2 linked regions of the Tamandua tetradactyla genome follow. The protein of the gene in region 1 interacts with the protein of each later gene in a pairwise test. Links are inferred from orthologs where the notes say so. Each region holds a gene or a part of one and is shown in the gene's direction. Other genes may lie near its edges.

What was found.
Region 2: the proteins of PLAA (region 1) and UBXN1 interact in binary tests that used the Homo sapiens proteins (3 or more experiments, as listed by UniProt). The two-hybrid records come from large-scale screens. The link is inferred for Tamandua tetradactyla from reciprocal best matches to the Homo sapiens genes PLAA and UBXN1.

Annotation. Positions count from the first base shown.
Region 1 is NC_135328.1:69,353,793-69,363,798, forward strand, and holds the start of PLAA (phospholipase A-2-activating protein), read left to right. Parts: upstream 1-5,090; 5' UTR 5,091-5,500; coding exon 5,501-5,649; intron 5,650-10,006. UniProt on the Homo sapiens protein: Plays a role in protein ubiquitination, sorting and degradation through its association with VCP. Involved in ubiquitin-mediated membrane proteins trafficking to late endosomes in an ESCRT-dependent manner, and hence plays a role in synaptic vesicle recycling.
Region 2 is NC_135335.1:11,896,688-11,906,693, forward strand, and holds UBXN1 (UBX domain-containing protein 1), read left to right. Parts: upstream 1-3,498; 5' UTR 3,499-3,626; intron 3,627-3,732; 5' UTR 3,733-3,764; coding exon 3,765-3,823; intron 3,824-3,962; coding exon 3,963-4,016; intron 4,017-4,117; coding exon 4,118-4,224; intron 4,225-4,308; coding exon 4,309-4,378; intron 4,379-4,616; coding exon 4,617-4,808; intron 4,809-4,902; coding exon 4,903-4,954; intron 4,955-5,114; coding exon 5,115-5,228; intron 5,229-5,731; coding exon 5,732-5,924; intron 5,925-6,089; coding exon 6,090-6,139; 3' UTR 6,140-6,230; downstream 6,231-10,006. Other genes in the region: LRRN4CL (LRRN4 C-terminal-like protein), read left to right, coding at 1-433; UQCC3 (ubiquinol-cytochrome-c reductase complex assembly factor 3), read right to left, coding at 8,212-8,364, 8,444-8,563.

The DNA of each region.
Region 1 (10,006 bases):
TACCACTGTCTTCTCACCTCCATTGGTTTCCGCTGAGAAATCTACGCATAGTCTTATTGAGCTTCCTTTGTATGTAATGGATTCTATTCTCTTGCTGCTTTCAAATTCTTTCTTTCTCTTTGACATTTGACATTCTGGCTAGTAAGTGTCCTGGAGTACATCTATTTGGAGCTATTCTGTTTGGGATACACTGCACTTCTTGGATCTATAATTTTAAGTCTTTCATAAGGGTTGGGAAATTTTCAGTGATAATTTCCTCTATTGGTTTTTCTCTTTTTCCCTTCTCTTTTCCTTCTGGGACATCCACAACACATATATTAATATGCATCATGTTGTCATTCAGTTCCCTGTGTCCCTGTTCATATTTTTCCATTCTTTTCCCTATATTTTCTTTTGATTGTCATATTTCAGATGTCCCCTCCTCCAGCTCACTAATCCTATCTTCTGCCTCTTGAAATCTAACATTGTAAGTTTCCTTTTTTTTTTAAATCTCTTCTACTGTCCCTTTCATTCTCATAAATTCTGTGATTTTTTTTCAGACTTTTGATTTCTTTTTGTTCATCCCTTAACTTTTTTATATTCTTCTTCAATTTGTTGATTTGATTTTTATGAGGTTTTTCCATGTCTGTTCGTACATTCTGAATTAATTGTTTCAGCTCCTGTATGTCATTTGAATTGTTGGTTTGTTCCTTTGACTGGGCCATATCTTCAATTTTCCTAGTATGTTTCACTATTTTTTGCTGGTGTCTAGACATTCAATTTCCTTAATTAGTTTATTCTGGAGTTGTTTTCACTTTTTTACCTAGAATTTTCTTGATGGATGACTTTGTTGTTTATCTGTTCTTTGACATTTAGTTCTGCTTTATTCTGGACCTCTAACTTAGGTTTTGTTGTTTAACAGATCACAATTTTTCAGTTCTTGTTTCTTGCCCTGCCTGTATGGTGCCTTTTTTTCCCCCTTAGGAAGGTCCACTTAGGTATTATTGACCCGTCAGATTGTCCCATACCAGACTGGCCTCTTCTCAGGAGGAAAGAGTCATCTGCATCAGTTTCTCCTGAGGATGAGACCCAGTGGGTTGAAAATCCTTCCCAGGAAGCCTCTAGACTCTGTGTTTTTCCTGTCCTGTCCAGTATGTGGTGCTTGTCTGCCTGCAGGTCCCACCAGCATAAAGTGATGAAGTTAAGTACCTTTAACTTCAGCAGACTCTTCTTTCTGGAGCATGGTTGATACAGAGAAGAGATTTTAGTCTGACTTTAATGGCTTCAGTTTTCCAGACCCTGGGGGCCTTAATTCCTTGGGCGAGGGATTCCACCTGTGCTGTGCCCCACCCTCTCCTGGGGAAGGCACAGCCTCCAGGGAATTACTTCCTTTCACCTGACCAGCCTCTTTGCCTCTTAGATAAATTTAATTCCACCCTTGCCTGGGGCAGTTGTATCCAAAGAGCAGTCAAGCCATAGAAACACAGCCACATAAAAGAAAACAAAATATAATCCTTTTCAGAGCTGGACCCCCATTCCTTGGGTTTGCCAGTCAAGACCTTAAATTGGTATGTTACTCTCTGTATCTCCAGTCCTATGTGCCCCCTCCTTTCCTTCAGGACCCAGATCCTTTCAAGTATTTTGTGTTGTCCAACCTGAAAAGACCTCTGTTTTTTCTTTTTTCTTTTTCGTTTTTCTGATAGCCCTGTCCCCTCTGTGCCAGGGCAAAAACCAGCAGCCTCAGCTTTTACTGGAGGTTCAGCTAAGCTGAGGTTCTATTTAGTAGTCAGAATTTGTTAATTAATTCCACAACTGGAGATAAGTTGAGCTCAGCCCTTTGCTGTTAGTAAAGTCTTTTTCCCCTCTAGAAGCCAGCCTGTGGGGGAGGGTCACCGGCTGCCGCAGCTTGGGGGTCTCATGATTCTGGGTGGGATTGCAGCTGGTCCAGCTTGTCCAGGCTGGTCACTGATGTGGCCCCAGCTCTTGTTCTGTACTGTCCCTGGCTGTTTACTAACTGCTCTGGAGGACGAACTAAATTCCACACCTCACTAAGCCACCATCTTGGGCCTAACTCCTATTTTCTTGTTGTTCTAGTTTGCTAGCCATCAGAATGCAATATACCGGGACAGGAATGGCTTTTAAAAAGGGAAATTTAATGAGTTGCTAGTTTACAGTTCCAAGGTTGAGAAAATGTCCCAATTCAAGCAAGTCTATAAAAATGTCCAAATTAAGGCACTAAGAAGAGGCCACTTTCACTCAAGGAAGGCTGTCGAAGTTCAGAGTTTCTTTCGCAACTGTAAAGGCACATGGTGAACATGGCTACATCTTCTAGCTTCCCCTCCAGGCCTCTTGCTTCATGAAGCTCCCCTAGGAGCATTTTCCTTCACTTCAAAAGGTCGCTGGTTGGTGGCCTCTGTAGTTCTAGTGTCTCTGCTGCTCTCATCATTCTCAAGCTTTCTCCAAAATGCTTCCTCTTTTAAAGGATTCCAGTAAGGTAATCAAGCCCCACCTGTAATGGGTGGAGTCACCTCTCTATTTAAAAGTTAATACTCACAATTGGGTGAGTCACATCTCTGTGGAGATAACTTAAACAAGTTTCCAACGTACAGTACTGAATAGGGATTAGAAGAAACTCTTACTCCCACAAGATTGATTAGATTAAAACATGGCTTTTCTAGGGTACATAAATCCTTTTAAACTGGTACATTTGCTTTCTTTCCTTTTCCTCCCTCCCTTCCTTCCTTCCTACCTGCCTCACTCCCACCCTTCCTCCCTTCTTTTTTTTTTCTTTTCCCTGCTTTCTTCTTGATCCTGGGTATTTCTTTGTCTGTATAGGGTTATAAAAGCCAAAACTGGTCTTGGAAAAAAATATCTCCTCCAGTTCCTCCTGTAATAAAACACACCTTCTCACCAAAACAAAGAAACTTGTTTCTCTGTTTGATGCAGGATCAGGTGGGCCTAACTATTGAAAACCTCATTTTCTGATGGTAACAATTCTAAGGATTAAATGAGAGACTGTGAAAATTGCCTTTACACTAAATACTGTACAAAGTGGAAAACATTTGCTGAGGACTTGTTATGTGTGAGTCACTAAACTGGATGCTGCGAATTCAAAGGAAAGAAAGCCATTACTGATCCTCAGAAAAATTTAGTCTGATAGGAAAGACAAAGACAGAAATGAATGTATTAGAATACAGTAAATGCTATAACAAAGATACAGGAAATTAGATTGGGTTCCACAGAGAAACCAGAAGGAACCATATGATAATTAAACTGGTGTTGAAATAAGCCAGGTAGAGAAAGAGTGGCATTCCAGTTTAAAAAAGAGAAAAAGAGGATGTACAAAGAGCCTGGAGACATGAAAGAGCATAATATGCTTAGAGAATGGGAGAAATTTAATGTGGCTGGGATAAGGGGTTCAGTAGAGAAAATGGAGGGAGATGAATCTAGTAAAATATTTGGGGAGATAGTGTTAAAGGTCTTGTATACTGTTTAACATAAGAATGGGCAGACATGAGAAGTTATTGAGAAGAGAAAAATTAAATTTAGTTTCTAGAAAGATAATCTTATTTTAATGTGCAGGATTGGTTGGAGAGAAGGGGCAGAAAGGCTAGAGAATGTTGAAATAATTCAAGAGCTAGAGAGTAGTAAAATAATTGACGCAAGAGATAACCAAGGAAGATTTTTGATAGCTGGAAATACAGGTCTGGAGGTATAGCTTTAGAATATGCAAAGTAGTAAATGGTCTACCCAGGGAGAGTAAAATGACAGAAGTTAGGTAGTAAAAGGTCAACATTTCAGAGTTCACGTCAGAGGAACAGAAACCAAAGTAGCAGTGGGCTGCAATCTAAAGAAGTTTCAAGAAGGGAAAGGTCAGAAAAGTGCGTTGGATTTAGTGATTAAGAGGGGTTTGTGGAGAAGTGTACTTGAATGCAAGAGAACAGTGGACAGAATGGTAAGTGGAAATTGGAAATATGGAGACAGGTGATGTATATTTTCCCTATTTAGCACGGTCCATTAAGCAGCAACATTTACTGAGGCTGGTTAAAAATATATATTCACAGCCCGGTGCAGGTTTACAAAATCAGTGTCTGTATTTTAATAAGCCTCTAGAGGATTTAAGCCTGCACATTTGAAAAGAACTGGTGTCTACTGCTGAATTATTCTCTAAACTTGATGGAGGGCAGAAAATGGGATAACAAAGCTGTACCGGTTTGAAAGTATCATGTACTCCAGAAAAGCCATGTCTTAATATTGATTCAATCTTGGAGGAGGAGGGGGCAGTCATTTCTTATAATACTAATTCTCTATTGTACAAAATTCTCTACTTCTGATTTGATTATCTCCATAGAGATGTTACATGTCTAATTGTGGAGATGTGACTCCACCCATTCAAGGTGGGTTTGATTAGTTTCCTAGAACTCTTTAAAAGAGGAAATATTTTGGAGCAATTCAGAAATGACAGAAGCCTCAGAACTGACAGAGAAAGCAGATGTAGATGCTTGGACAAAAGTTGCTTCAGAGAACAGAGATACAGATGTTTGAAGATGTCTGAAGTCCAGCAGACATCATCATGCAATATTAAGCAAGTCAGAACCTAGAAAGAGCCAAGGGAACCCAAGAGATGAAAGCCAGCCCCAGAGAAGCAAAGTGAGGAACCCTCAGAGGAACAGAAGCTGAAAGCAACAGAGCCCAGGAGCAAGGGACCAGCAGATGCCAGCCTCCTGACTACCAGCTGACTTAGGTGTCCAGACACATCACCTCTTATTGGTGCCTTAATTTGGACACTTAAGACTTCCTTAGAACTGTAAATTTGTAATTTATTACATTCCCTCTTTAAAGGTCATTCTGTTTCCGATTTATGAGTTCGGGAAGCATACAACTAACAGAAGGCAAGCGATTAATGGTTCTCAAGATTTCTCGTTGTAACCGAAAAGCAACGTTTAATTAGTGACAATTTCTGTAAGACAGGGAGAGAAGCATTGGGGAAACCGAACTAACCAAATAATCTCACTCCGCCACTCCGCGGTACGCAGCGCAGGACCCCAAGATTTAAAAGAGCGGAACTCGTAGCTCCGGATGCGTATGCCCTACCAGCGCGTGGCATTGTGGGATCTGTAGTCCTGGCTCGCGATTTACAACAAACAGCGCTGCTCCGGGTCGGGAAGGACCCCGGGCTTGGGCGTCTAGGCTGGACAAACAGTGACCTCATCTCTTCCTCCGCTGACGGTCCCAAGCTCTGGAGAGAACCGAGCCTCAGACGGGGGCGCACACGCTTTGCGTCACGGAGGACTGAGGCCGACGATAAATTCCGGTGTGCATGTCAGGGTTGCTGTGTCACTGGGCCTATTCGAGGCGCCCCCTTCCCGCTGCCCTTCCGCACCGGCTTTCGGTCTCTTCCGGTCTCCACCGCCCTCACCTGCAGCTCCCTCTCCCACTGCTGCTCGGCGCAGGCCCGGCATCCCCTGCGGACTGATCTCGCGCGTTATCCGGACCTCGCGGTGCGGGACCGAAGCAGGCCATGGCGAGCGGGGCCGCCAGGTACCGGCTGAGCTGCTCGCTCCGGGGCCACGAGCTGGACGTGCGGGGCCTGGTGTGCTGCCTCTATCCGCCGGGGGCCTTTGTGTCCGTGTCCCGAGACCGCACCACCCGCCTCTGGACCCCAGACAGGTGAGCGCTGCGTGTCGAGCTGCCCCAAACCCTGCCCTCCTCTCTCCTGTCCTCTCCCTCTCTCCTAAACCAGTAAAGTTTCCTTTGCCTGCAACTTGCTCCCTCCCAGGTTTGAGAGCACTGGCTGGCTGAGCATGCAGTGTAAGAAACCAGCGAAATTTAAGTGGATAGATCACATTAGATGGGGGTACCAGAGACCTGCCTTCTTTTCCTAACTTTGCTACTAACGAGTGGGTGTTCTTGGACGAGCCTTTTATTTTGGGGGGCCTTATTTGAAAGTGAGGGACTTCTGGGTTGTGAGCTCCCAAATTTCTTTTAGAGTCGAAGATTTATTGATGCCAGGTGATCCTTCCAAAATGAAACTTTGTGAAAACCCCCGGCATATAATTGCCTCTAGAATTTTTTCTGCAGTTTCCTCTCACATTTAATTTTTGAAAACCTTAGTTGTCAAAAACTGCATTGCAAAAAGTTGCATTGTCGCTTCTAGGTGTGCAGGTGAGAGTATCTTAATCTGGATTTTGTGATGGGCTTGGGAGTAGATGAAACCCTTGAAATATTATGAATATGTGGGGATGTGCTGTTTGCTTGAGAGTGTCCCTTGCTATTAAAAGATTGTTGAAGACTTCGGTGAATCAAAAAAGCTTAACTGCTCTAGTCCAGGTCAGGTTAAGAGGTTCAGCCCTTATTTGGCTGACGGTTGTTGGAAATTTAAGATATAGAAGGCAGATTTTAGTTCAGGGGAAAAAAAAAGAGGTGAACAACTAAAATTGGCATGAGTTACTTTGTCATGTAGCAAATCTCCCGTCACTATAGAGGTTTCATTAAAGGTCACTCAGCGTTTGTGAGACCTTTAATGAGTTCAGCTGAAAACGTCTTCATTGAATGTCTCTTATTTCCTCGTTTTGAGATGGCGACAAGAAATAATAAGATACATAAGGTCCCTGTGTTTATGGGGCTAGCGTATGGTTTGGTAGGGGAAAAGGATCAAAAAACAAGCAAATAATAGTTATAGGTTGACATATATACTTTGTAGAAAACAAATATATCTATAATTAAGGATGCAAGTCTCTTTAAGCTAGCACCTGAAGGATGAGGTGGAGCTGATCATGGAAGTGAGAATGGGGAGAATCATTATGAAAGAGCACTTTTGACAGCAGTAGCAAACATGGAAATATCAGATTAGGAAAGAGGGAAGTTCCTGTGTGACTGGAGGGAAATGAATGGTGAGGTGAGGGCAGGTCTTAGAAGCTGGCAGGAACCATGTCATGCCATAGTATGGGGACTAATGGGAGGGAGGAGAGGAGTATGTAAGGGGAAGCCTTCAAAGAGTTTTAAGCAGGGAGCAGCATGATCTAATTTACCTGCTGAAAAGTTTCTGCTAGCTGCTGGAAGTGTAGAAGCAGATATGTTTGGAGGTTTTTTGGAGTGAGTGCGTCCAAGACATGATTGTAGACTAAATTAGCATTATAGAACAGACTCCTGTATTGAATTGGACAAGATGACTTGTAAAAGTCTCTTCCATTCCAACTCTAAGATTCTATGATATTCCAAACCACTAGTAATACCAGTACCTAATTTTTTGTGTGTATTTGAATACAATTATTAATTAAACATGTACTTTTGAAATTGAGCCTAGTAAAAGAATATTTAATAACAAAGAATGCCTATTGTAGTTGATTCCTCTCATTAAACTTTTACATATTTCGTGGTACTGTGCTAGATTGACAAAGAGTTTAAATCACTGAAGTGGTTGCATTTACCAAGGACTTGAGAACTTTCAGCTGAAATGAGCCTTTATTTGCAAATTGGTTCTTTTCATTTAATTAGTATTGTTTGTTTGTTTTAGTTTTCAAAATTCATTCCTGTATTTATTGTACTAACACCTACTGAAAGCCTGCATTGTATCAGGCACAGTGCTAGATAGTAGATGATGTGAAAGTTAGCAAGATAAGACTTTTAACCTCATTTCCAACTGCTCAGGTTAAGAAGTCTCAGAGTCCCTGGGTAATGGACGGCTTGTGCATCCCATCTAGAGTATCCTAATCATATCTTCAGTGTTGTGACAAGTGTCATCAAGACGATAGCCTGACAATTTTTATTTCATGTTGTATTAATAAAGTTGATGATGTCCTATAAAATGTTCGGAGACAAGTAGTAAATGAAATTTGTTTTCCTATGTATATTGTTGATGTGTTTCTAGATCAGGGTAGTAAGTATAGGGATGAACTGGGAATGATGGAATTTGGTTTCAGCAAAGCAGAAATAGTCTATTCTAGGATAGACTAACCTGGATACCTAGTATTGCATAAACCACTGAAAACCCAAACAGTCTCTGAACTTCCAAAGTTCCTTCAGAATGGAGAGACATAAGTTTTTTTTTTTTTTTTAATTAACGGAAAGAAAAAAAAATTAACACAACATTTAGAAATCATTCCATTCTACATATGCAATCAGTAATTCTTAATATCATCATATAGATGTATGATCATCATTCCTTAGTACATTTGCATCGATTTAGGAAAAGAACTAGCAAAACAACAGAAAAAGATACAGAATGTTAATATAGAGAAAAAATAAAATAATAATAATAATAATAAAAAATAAAAAAATTTATATAAAAAAGGAAAAAGAAAAAACAAAAGACACAAACAAACAAACAAAAAAACTATAGCTCAGATGCAGCTTCATTCAGTGTTTTAACATAATTACATTACAATTAAGTATTATTGTGCGGTCCATTTTTGAGTTTTTGTATCTAGTCCTGTTGCACAGTCTGTATCCCTTCAGCTCCAATTACCCATTATCCTACCCTGTTTCTAACTCCTGCTGGTCTCTGTTACCAATGACATATTCCAAGTTTATTCTCTAATGTCGGTTCACATCAGTGGGACCATACAGTATTTGTCCTTTAGTTTTGGCTAGACTCACTCAACATAATGTTTTCTAGGTTCATCCATGTTATTACATGCTTCATAGGTTTATTCTGTCTTAAAGCTGCATAATATTCCATCGTATGTATATACCACAGTTTGTTTAGCCACTCGTCTGTTGATGGAGATTTCGGCTGTTTCCATCTCTTTGCAATTGTAAATAATGCTGCTATAAACATTGGTGTGCAAATGTCCGTTTGTGTCTTTGCCCTTAAGTCCTTTGAGTAGATACCTAGCAATGGTATTGCTGGGTCGTATGGCAATTCTATATTCAGTTTTTTGAAGAACCGCCAAACTGCCTTCCACAGTGGTTGCACCATTTGACATTCCCACCAACAGTGGATAAGTGTGCCTCTTTCTCCGCATCCTCTCCAGCACTTGTCATTTTCTGTTTTGTTGATAATGGCCATTCTGGTGGGTGTGAGATGATATCTCATTGTGGTTTTGATTTGCATTTCTCTAATGGCCAGGGACATTGAGCATCTCTTCATGTGCCTTTTGGCCCTTTGTATTTCCTCTTCTGGTAAGTGTCTGTTCAAGTCTTTTTCCCATTTTGTAATTGGGTTGGCTGTCTTTTTGTTGTTGAGTTGAACAATCTCTTTATAAATTCTGGATACTAGACCTTTATCTGATATGTCATTTCCAAATATTGTCTCCCATTGTATAGGCTGTCTTTCTACTTTCTTGATGAAGTTCTTTGATGCACAAAAGTGTTTAATTTTGAGGAGCTCCCATTTATTTATTTCCTTCTTCAGTGCTCTTGCTTTAGGTTTAAGGTCCATAAAACCGCCTCCAATTGTAAGTTTCATAAGATATCTCCCTACATTTTCCTCTGTTTTATGGTCTTAGATCTAATGTTTAGATCTTCGATCCATTTTGAGTTAACTTTTGTATAGGGTGTGAGATACGGGTCCTCTTTCATTCTTTTGCATATGGATATCCAGTTCTCTAGGCACCATTTATTGAAGAGACTGTTCTGTCCCAGGTGAATTGGCTTGACTGCCTTATCAAAGATCAAATGTCCGTAGATGAGAGGGTCTATTTCTGAGCACTCTATTCGATTCCATTGGTCGATATATCTATCTTTATGCCAATACCATGCTGTTTTGACCACTGTGGCTTCATAATATGCCTTAAAGTCCTGCTGCGTGAGACCTCCAGCTTCGTTTTTTTTCCTCAAGATACTTTTAACAATTCGGGGCACCCTGCCCTTCCAGATAAATTTGCTTATTGGTGTTTCTGTTTCTGAAAAATAAGTTGTTGGGATTTTGATTGGTATTGCATTGAATCTGTAAATCAATTTAGGTAGGATTGACATCTTAACTATATTTAGTCTTCCAATCCATGAACACGGTATGCCCTTCCATCTATTTAGGTCTTCTGTGATTTCTTTTAACAGTTTTTTGTAGTTTTCTTTGTATAGATGT
Region 2 (10,006 bases), on another chromosome or scaffold:
CGAGGAGGGCCGCGCCGTCATCCGGTGGTGTGCCCCCTTCTCCCCGGTCCACCAATACTGGCTGCTGCTTTCGGAAGGCAGCAGGGCTCCCCAGCAGGGCGCGCCCCTGAATTCGACCGTCCGAAAAGCAGAACTGAACGGACTGAACCCCGGGGGTGCTTATGTCGTTTGCGTGGTGGCTTCCAACGACGCCGGAGAAAGCACAGTGCCCAAGGCAGGAAGGGAGGGCCTTGAGGTGGCAGGAGACCCTGCCTTCGGGCCTTGCGGCCGGTTCACCATGCCCCCCAGACCCCTCACCCTGATCCATGCGGCCGTGGGGGTGGGCACAGCCCTGGCCCTGCTCAGCTGCTCAGCCCTGGTCTGGCACTTCTACCTGCGCCAGCACTGCGGCTGCCCCCGGCGAGGGGCCATACAAGCCCAGCAGAGGCTCTGAAAGGGACCTGGGGAGCATATCCTGCAAAGCCAAGCTTCTACCTGGAGAGCTTGGCCCCAGATCCAGGGCAGGAGCTGGTGAGGGCCCGGCTGCTGCCCTGCTCAGGCTGGACGGCGGGGCAGAAAGCCACCCACTGAGCTGGGAGCCCTAGAGCGGACTCTCAGATCTCTACTCTGAAAGCTTGCTTAGATTCCAGACTTCGCTTGAATTCTGATTCAAGTTTAGGAGGGACCATAGAGGGTCAGTGCTTTTCTCATAAAGGGCCAGATAATAACTAATTCCGGCTTTGCGGTGGTCCAGGAGGACAAAAATCCCAGATATTATGCTCATACTCGTATAAGCATGTAACATGTAGCCATTGAAAATGTCAAAAGAAAAAAAACATTCTTAGCGGGTGGGCCTTACAAATCAGACCTGGGATCCGGCTGTAGTTAGTCCACCCCCATCATAGGCCTTCAGATGGGGTCTGGGGTCTGCCACTTTACGTGGCGTCCATGGCATATTGAGAATAAGCTTCAGGAGGTTGGGAGTTTGGGGCCACCCTCTTCTCCTTCGGCCTTTTGTTTAATTATTGAGGATGAACATACCTGTATCAGAGTCCACCCGTGTCTGCTGATGGTGGAAATAAATGACTGACATGGAGTGGAGAATAAAGGATGGCCCAGCTGCTATTTGTGACCAGCCTGCATCTCAACTGGTAAAATCCCCACACTACTGTACACCCACTGTATGCCCCTTATAACAACATTAAAGGAAACTAGAAGACATTTTCATTTTTTGGATGATCTTTTCAATTCCCTATTCATATAACTGTTTCTTTTCAGAGTAAGTAGACATACTTTTGATTTTATTTTTAAATTAATTGGATGTAGAAAAATCTGTTTTATGCTGCTACGTGGTATAAGCCTCACTTTTACTCATTGCGTGTATACATATGTGTATGCATATTTAATTATAAGTGATACTTATAGAAATTTCAAGTAAAATCAAAGAGTATAAAGTGAAAGTTCTCAGAGTAGACTTTTCTCTCTTCAATGAGAGTATTACCTTTTATTGGTAATATTAAATATTAAATATTACCAATTGGAAATATTAAATTATGTTGTCCATTCCATCTTGGTAAATCAGAGCTTCCCTAGTTATGTCAAAAGCTGCCCAGCTTTCCATAAGAGAATGCTCCCTAAGTGACTTTAGGCATCGCTCTTTATTAAAACATTTGACGCCTCCAGTGTTTGTCATGGACATGCTTGTCTCTGTACCCTTGCATGTTTGTGTGAGTATTTCTGTATAGACTTGCCTGGAAGTAGGTCAAAGAAGCAGGACGATAAAATTTAACTTATTATTGGACCTTTAGAATAAATTTAGAATACATTTCTTATCTAGAATACACTCATCACACTGCAGTGAATACTTTGTGCCTTTAAATAAAATTCCTGTATTTCCTCAGCACTGATTGATGAATCACTAGAGGGTCTGCTATCTCATTATTATGCAAGACATACTTTACGAGCATTCTCATTTAATTTTCACCATAATCATCCCAGGAAATGGTCTCACCTTTTCACAGATGAGAAACCCGGGGTTTCTAAATGGTTTGAAGTCACAACTAAGGAGGTCAGCTAGAATTCCGGTCCATACTTTCAAAGCTGATGCTTATCACTCCACCATACAGTGGTGGCCTAGTGAAGGCAGGCTGCTTGGGCTTGAGTCCTAGTTCTGCTACTTATTTGCTTTGAGAACTTAGGCAAATTATCTTATTGTTCTTTGTCTCAGTTTCCAGTGACTAATACTAGTACCTACATCATAGTGAGTTTATGATGATTCTATTCAGTCCCTAGGTCATAATATATTATCAATATCGGTAACTGTTATTGCTGTGCCTCCTGACAAACATTTAAAGTCTGCTTCCTTTGTAGCAGGTGTTGTGTGCAATAAAGGCAGCTCCACCTTCAAGGATCCAACAGGTTAAGTAATGGTGGAGGGCTAATTAATCAACAATGACTAGTAACAAGAGGATAAAAGTTTAATGAGGTGTAAAGAGTGGAGCTGGGACGCCTGGGAAGCTGTTTCAAACCAGCCTTCCCTTAGAAAGCAAACCTTGAGTTAAGTCAGGACAAACGAGGACAGGGAATTAACCTAGTCTAGAGAAGAGGTAAGGCATCCCAGATGAAGAGGCTAGAGTGTGTAAAGGTCAGGAGGAAGAGATTCTGTTTTGCAATATGAACGTTACCCTCAAGTGGTGGGAGATGAAACTGTGTAATAATTTACACCAACATTTACACTGTACTCTCTTGATGGCACCTATTGTTAACCCCACTTTACAGATGGGACCCTAAAAAAAAAGGGGGGCATGGTGACGGAGGCACACCTTCGTGAAGGTAATTGACACCCCTGAATTATATATTTGAAAATGGGATAAAAACGGGAAATTTTAGGTTGCATATAACACACACACATACACCCATAGAAGTGTGCAACACAAGAGTAAATCATAACATAAACAGTGGGCTAAAGTTAATAGCATAACTATATTGTTTCATCAATTGTAAAAGAAGTGCCACATTAATACAAAATGTCAATAGAGAAAACTGTGTGTGAGAAGGGGGGTTCTGTAGAAACTCTACTTTCTGCATGACTTTTCTGTAAACCTGTAACTGCTCCAATCAAAAAAAAAAAAAAGTGGGGCAGGAGAAAGCAAGAGCACAAGCATTTGTTTTGTCCTAGGTATGTGGGGTGTCACGGGGAAGTTATAAGCAGGGAGGTGATGACAGGATCAGATATTGTGTTTTGCAAAAATCCCTCTGGCAGCTGGGCGGAGAAGAGCTCAACTCCCAGGAGAGGATCAGTGGGTCAAAGTGTGTGCACATTTCTATGGCTAACCCTGCCAAGTAATACACCAATTGATTGCGCTCAGGGGCCATATGCTTTCTAATTTCTAAAAAGGAGGGTAAGGGAGCGTTACGCCGCGGGATCGCACGTCCTAACGTCCGAGCGTTTCAAAACCGCAGCGCCCCCACCACCGCCTCCCGCTAGCAACTCCCACGCGCTGCGGGTCTGGTGGGCCAGACACGTGTTTTCTGCCTCTTCTCGGCACCCGTCCACGCCCGCCCTCCACGTGACCCAAACAGATCCGGGCACTTCCGTTTCCCCTCGGCTTTCTTCTCGTCGGTATCCGCGGTGGGTCCAGAGCCGGGTAAGTAAGGGAGATTCTTGGTCGGGGACAAGGGGAACGGAATTGGGCGCGGGCCGGGGGTGTCCCGTGCAGATCCCACCTACCCCTGCGCTACTCGTTCCCTTAGGTCCCCGCGGAGGCGGCGGCGGCGGCGGCGCCATGGCGGAGTTGACGGCTCTGGAGAGTCTCATCGAGATGGGCTTCCCCAGGGGACGCGCGTAAGGGAGTCCCCCTAACCCCAGGCTGCGGGGAACGTGGACGTGTCCCGGTCTTTACCCCCGTCCGGTCTCAGGCCTGCGCCCCTGCCTGCCCGTCACCATGGCTCATGGGCGCTATTCCCGGTGTTTCTGCCCTCAGGGAGAAGGCTCTAGCCCTCACAGGGAACCAGGGCATCGAGGCTGCAATGGACTGGTGAGTACCCAGACCGGGTGGCAGGGAGTTAGGGGGAAGGGGCGAAGGGGGGAAGGGGCGGCCGCCTCACCGTTAACCTCCCTCCCGACTCTTCCTGTTAGGCTGATGGAACACGAAGATGACCCCGATGTGGACGAGCCTCTAGAGACCCCCCTTGGACATATTCTGGGCCGGGAAGCCACCTCCTCGGAGGAAGGTGGCCCTGAAGGTCCTGACTGGGGGTATAGTGTGGTTATTCAGGAGGGTCTGGGGACGATCTGAAGTGGTAATAATACTGCTTGCTTGTTTGTAGTGCCTGGGTCTGCTGCAGGAGAAGGCAAACCTGCTTTGAGTGAAGAAGAAAGACAGGAACAGACTAAAAGGTACAGTAAGGGACAGCTTCCCATTTTTAAGGGTTGTCTTCAACCTCTCCCCAATACACAGTCTGGTCATAGAACCTTGGACTTTCCCTTCACATTCCTTCTGTCCTTTCTTGGCATTTTCCTTTGGTTTCTTTCATCTATCCTGGGACACATGTTCCCTGATTTTGTTTTCCTTGTCATAAACTCACCTTCCCACACTACTATCCATTTCTCTTGAGCACTTAACTTTCTGCCCCAGGATGTTGGAGCTGGTGGCCCAGAAGCAGCGGGAACGTGAAGAGAGAGAGGAGCGGGAGGCATTGGAACGGGAACGGCAGCGCAGGAGACAAGGGCAGGAGTTGTCAGCTGCCCGACAGCGGCTACAGGAAGATGAGATGCGCCGTGCTGCTGAGGAAAGGAGGAGGGAAAAGGCTGAAGAGTTAGCAGCCAGGTCTGCGTGATGGGGATGTTGGATAAGAGATGAGAAGGGAATCAGGATTTGCTTTATCCCTGTCTGACCTACTTTTTTCTTTTCTATATTCCAGACAAAGAGTTCGAGAAAAGATTGAAAGGGACAAAGCAGAGAGAGCCAAGAAGGTGGGTGTTTAGAAAGACACAGGGGTGGGGTGGGGGATGGTATTGGAGTAGGTGGGCTAGGAAATCCCCTTTCGAGCTTCAGAGGAAAAAGGTGGACTTGTATGATGTTTCTCCTTAGGGTGGATGAGTGTCTAATGGAATATTTTACTTTATCCTTTAGTATGGTAGCATGGGTACTCGGCCATCCCCACCAGCAGCAGAGCCAGGTCCTGTTCCCTCCTCTCCCAGCCAGGAGCCTCCCACCAAGCGGGAGTATGACCAGTGTCGTATACAGGTACTGATTCTGATTCTTGTCTTACTCTTGGGACCCTTTCCTTGATCTGTAAGGTGCCCAGTTCAGAGCTTTTTTCAGTTATGTTCCCTTTGCCAAACCTTTCCCTTCTTTGTAAATGACTTTGAAATCCAATCTCCTCCACTCTTAGGAAGGAGATCAAATTTCACTTGTCCTGATGTTATTTAAATGCATACTTCCCTCTTGCTCAGCAATTACCGGTTAACTTGTTTACATTTCCGTTTGGCTTATTACACAGCTTATGTGAGTAATGTGGTGATTTACCTACATATTTTTGTATAATCATGTGTGGTAGGTGGGAGTGTCTTTATTTTCATTGCTTGGTAAAGCACAGTGTAAGTGGTTGTTCATTAGGTGCTTTAAATAGTAATTTTGCTGGTTCAGTTGCTCTAGGATGCAAGAGCCAGCTTTAGTTGTTCTGTTCTTTTCCTTGGGCACCTCACTTAGTTTTGACCCTGATACCATACGTCTCCCTTACCTTCTAGGTCAGGCTGCCAGATGGTACTTCACTGACCCAGACATTCCGGGCCCGGGAACAGCTGGCAGCCGTGAGGCTGTATGTGGAGCTTCACCGTGGAGAGGAACCTGGAGGGGGCCAGGACCCTGTGCAGTTGCTCAGTGGCTTCCCTCGGCGAGCCTTCTCAGAGGCTGACATGGAACGGCCTCTGCAGGAGCTGGGTATGGAACATGGGACCAGAAACTAGGGCTTGAAGGATGGGGCGTATGACTGAGAAAGTTAAGAGATGTAGTGAGAAGGGATTTTGGAGATGGTACAAGGCCAGGAAATTTTAGCACAAAGAGAAGATATCTTTGTGGCTCAAACTTGTTTTCTTCCATCTTCAGGACTTGTGCCTTCTGCTGTCCTCATCGTGGCCAAAAAATGTCCCAGCTGAGGGGCCTTTATTCCACCATCCCTCTCTGACCTCTTCATCTTTGATAAAGCACTGACATCCCCTTCCTAATAAATAGACCCTCTGAATTCTATATGTGCCCGACTCCTTCCTGAATGGATGAGGGGACAAAACTGAGGCAGAGGTAGAAGTTAAAATGAAGGCATTTGGAGTAGATCCTCTTCCTCTTTAGTCTCTAACAAAAGACACTTGTTTCTAACCTCTGGGTCTGATTAGCTGCTGGGGAGACTGAGAAGGAGAGGTGCTGGAGGGTGGGAAGTAGACTGGATAGTGCTTTTTGCTCCTGTGGGTAAGAGGCAGTGCATAAGCTTGAAATATTGATTCTGCCACTAGCTATGTGCTTTGATTTTTTTAAGCATCGGTTTTTCTTTACTAAGATATTTAAAAAGTACCTGATTCTTAGGGTTGTTTTGAGGGATACGTAATGCTGGTATAAGGTACTTTTTGTACAGCATCTGCACCAAATAAGTCCTCAATTAGTATAATTTCTAACAGAGAAATTTAAGTATGGACATACTCAAGAACGTTGAGAGAGAGAAACATAAGGGTGACCTTTGCAGCTGCATCTTTTCTGCTGTAAGAGTACATCGCAACCAAGCCAGGTGCTTTTCCTAATAACACTTAAAAGTGTTGATTACTTAATATGTACCACATACAGTTTTAAGTGCTTTGTGTGTATTAACAGGGATAGGAAAGCACTGTTATCTAGGTAAAGGTACAATATTCTAGAGCTTAGGACAGCAAAGCATATAATTTGCCCAAACTGACAGAGCTAGCAAGTAGAACCTGGACACACACCTAGGGAGCCCCTGACCCCAGGGCTTAGGCTTTGAACTGCCAGGTACTCCCATGGTGACCCTTCTCAGTGCTGCTCATAATGCACCGTAGTGTTCCCACAAACACCTGCTGATCCTCTAATTCCTGGGCAGGGGCAGGCAGTTATACTGTAAAGATTGCACATAAAAGTATGTTTGGCTTAAAACTCAACCATCAAGCAGCTGAATACATCAGTGGTCACAGATGGGTTATACCTCACCATGCTTTATTTGGGAAAAGCAGACTTTTTAATGAAAATCTTGTTTAGAACTACAGTAGATAAAATGGACAAAAGGAGGAGAGACTTGACTTGGTATAGGGCCAGAGATTATCTCACATCCTCAGTGGCATCCAACAGATCCTATGGCTGGATTCACAGACTGGAAACTACTGTGGTGAAAATGTTTGAAGGAAAAAAAACAACACAAAACCAACCATTACCTTCACTGACAGCTCACTCTGTGCCAGTCGCTGCACTTCACGTTTCTAAATTCTTTTAACAACAAAACTTAATCTAGAGTTACCATGGTTCATCCAGCAGGATTGAGGTGCAGAGGTTTTGTGATATGCTGGAGTTGAACAAAGATCTGACCTAAGAGCAAAGCATGTTTCTTTCACTCCTAGCAAGTCAGCCTCTCTAAAGAGTGCCTTATTAGCCAGAGGTGAAATGGGGCATGTAACGGCCACAGAGGGCATCATGACATTCAAGTTCTAGATGCCCTCCAGCCCTATCTGGCTCATAGGACAGGAGCCCAGCCTGTCCTCTACATGGAGTCCACCGGACAGGATGTTCCAGGATAGTTCTGATCTCAAAGCGCTGCTTGGTTACTCCGGGAAGTACACTTAAGTTTGTGCCATACGACTTGACAGTGTTTTGAAAACGTGGTCGCTACTCCCATTGGACTTCAGCCTCACACATGCGGGGCGGGGCTGGTGGGATCCGCAGTCACCGGCGTCGGACCAACGAACCCACAGCTCAAGGAATCTAGACGTCATCCGCATACCGCAAGGCTCACTCTCTGGATGGGGGAAAGTGATTTATTGGTGCTCTCAGTTCTCCACACCCGATTCCTGGCTCTGCGGTCCCAGCGAGGCGGGAGGTGGGTGTGGGAGGGGTAATGTGCTCACCCTGTCGGTGGCTGCTCCCGGGGCACCAAACACAGAGTTGCGACGCCCCGCCGGTCCGCGGAGCAGAAAGGCCGCTTCAGCCTCCTGAGCCCACCCGGGCAGGTCCTGGCTCATGCCGACCTCCCACTGCCGCCGCCCTCCATCCAGTTCTTCCTCCAGGCCACGTTCTCCTGCGTGGCGGCTGCCTCCTGCAGCGTGGACAGCAGCAGCTCCTGGGTCCTGGCCGCCTCGTCCCGGCGCTGCGGATACTTCTCCGGTATCTCCTGCGGGCAAGGAGCAAGGTTCGCAGAGCCCGGCGCTCTCCGCCCGCCCATCCCACTAAGGGACCCCAGTTAATCCCACCTTCAGCATCGTCTGCTTCCGCTGCTCCCCCGGGGTCACGAGGACAAAGAGCGCAGAGCCCACGCCGGCTCCCACGCCCAGCAACGCGCCAACGACCAGAGCCTTCTGCAGGACCCCCATGGCCGACCGCGCAACCAGAGAGGCGTCTTGGGAAGCCTCCCGCAGCCTAGAGAGTAGCCGCCGACCGTCATTCCTTGCGCGGGCTAGAGCGCCCTATGTCGGAAACCATAGAGAAGGGGCCAGGCTAGAGAGGACTTGGGTGTCCAGAAGCTTGGGGTCTAGAGGGCTTGTGTCTTAAAAATAGGAGGGTTCTTAGGACAGATAAATCCTGGAACTCAGAGGACCAGCCTCTCCAAGATGATCAATTAATAATCTTTTTTTATTAATTAAAAAAATTAACACAACATTTAGAAATCTTTCCATTCTACGTATACAATCAGTAATTCTTAATATCACATATCTTGTGATATTAAGTAATTCTTAATATCACAAGAAATAGAAAGACAACAGAAAAGAAATAAAACGATAAGAGAAAAAAATTATTTAAAAAATTAAAAAATAATAATAAAAAACTATACGTCAGATGCAGCTTCATTCAGTGTTTTAACATAATTACATTACAATTAGGTAGTATTGTGCTGTCCATTTCTGAGTTTTTGTATCCAATCTTGTTGCACAGTCTGTATCCCTTCAGCTCCAATTACCCATTATCTTACCCTATTTCTGCCTCCTGATGGTCTCTGTTACCAATGACATATTCCAAGTTTATTCTCTAATGTCGGTTCACATCAGTGGGACCATACAGTTTTTGTCCTTTAGGTTTTGGCTAATCTCACTCAGCATAATGTTCTCTAGGTCCGTCCATGTTATTACATGCTTCATAAGTTTATTCTGTCTTAAAGCTGCATAATATTCCATCGTATGTATATACCACAGTTTGTTTAGCCACTCGTCTGTTGATGGACATTTTGGCTGTTTCCATCTCTTTGCAATTGTAAATAATGCTGCTATAAACCTTGGTGTGCAAATGTCCGTTTGTGTCTTTGCCCTTAAGTCCTCTGAGTAGATTGCCTAGCAATGGTATTGCTGGGTCGTATGGCAATTCTATATTCAGCTTTTTGAGGATCAATTAATAATATTGATAATGAACATGAAAATGTCAGAACAGGTATTGCCCAAAGTTCCCTATAGATTGGGAGAAGGATTAAAAGAGGAGGAGATATAATAGAGAAAATGGAATTAAATATGAGTATGGCTGCTGAATCACTATATTAATAATCCTCTAACCTCCAGTGTTTTGGAGCAGCTCGAAGGAAAGGGCTAATAGAATTGTAGCCCATGAAAAACTCTGGGATCTGTTGCATAACTACTTGTTGAGGTGTGTTTTGAAAATTGCTGCTTCTTTCTTTCTTTGCTTTGAATATATGTGTATATATATATTGTATTTTACAATGAAAAACTTCTTTTTTTTTTTTTTAGAATAGATCTAACTGAGGAGTTAAAGCATATGAAAAAAGTGTCTTGGCATCCAGATCTGGGCTTGGGACCCATTGTTATCAAATT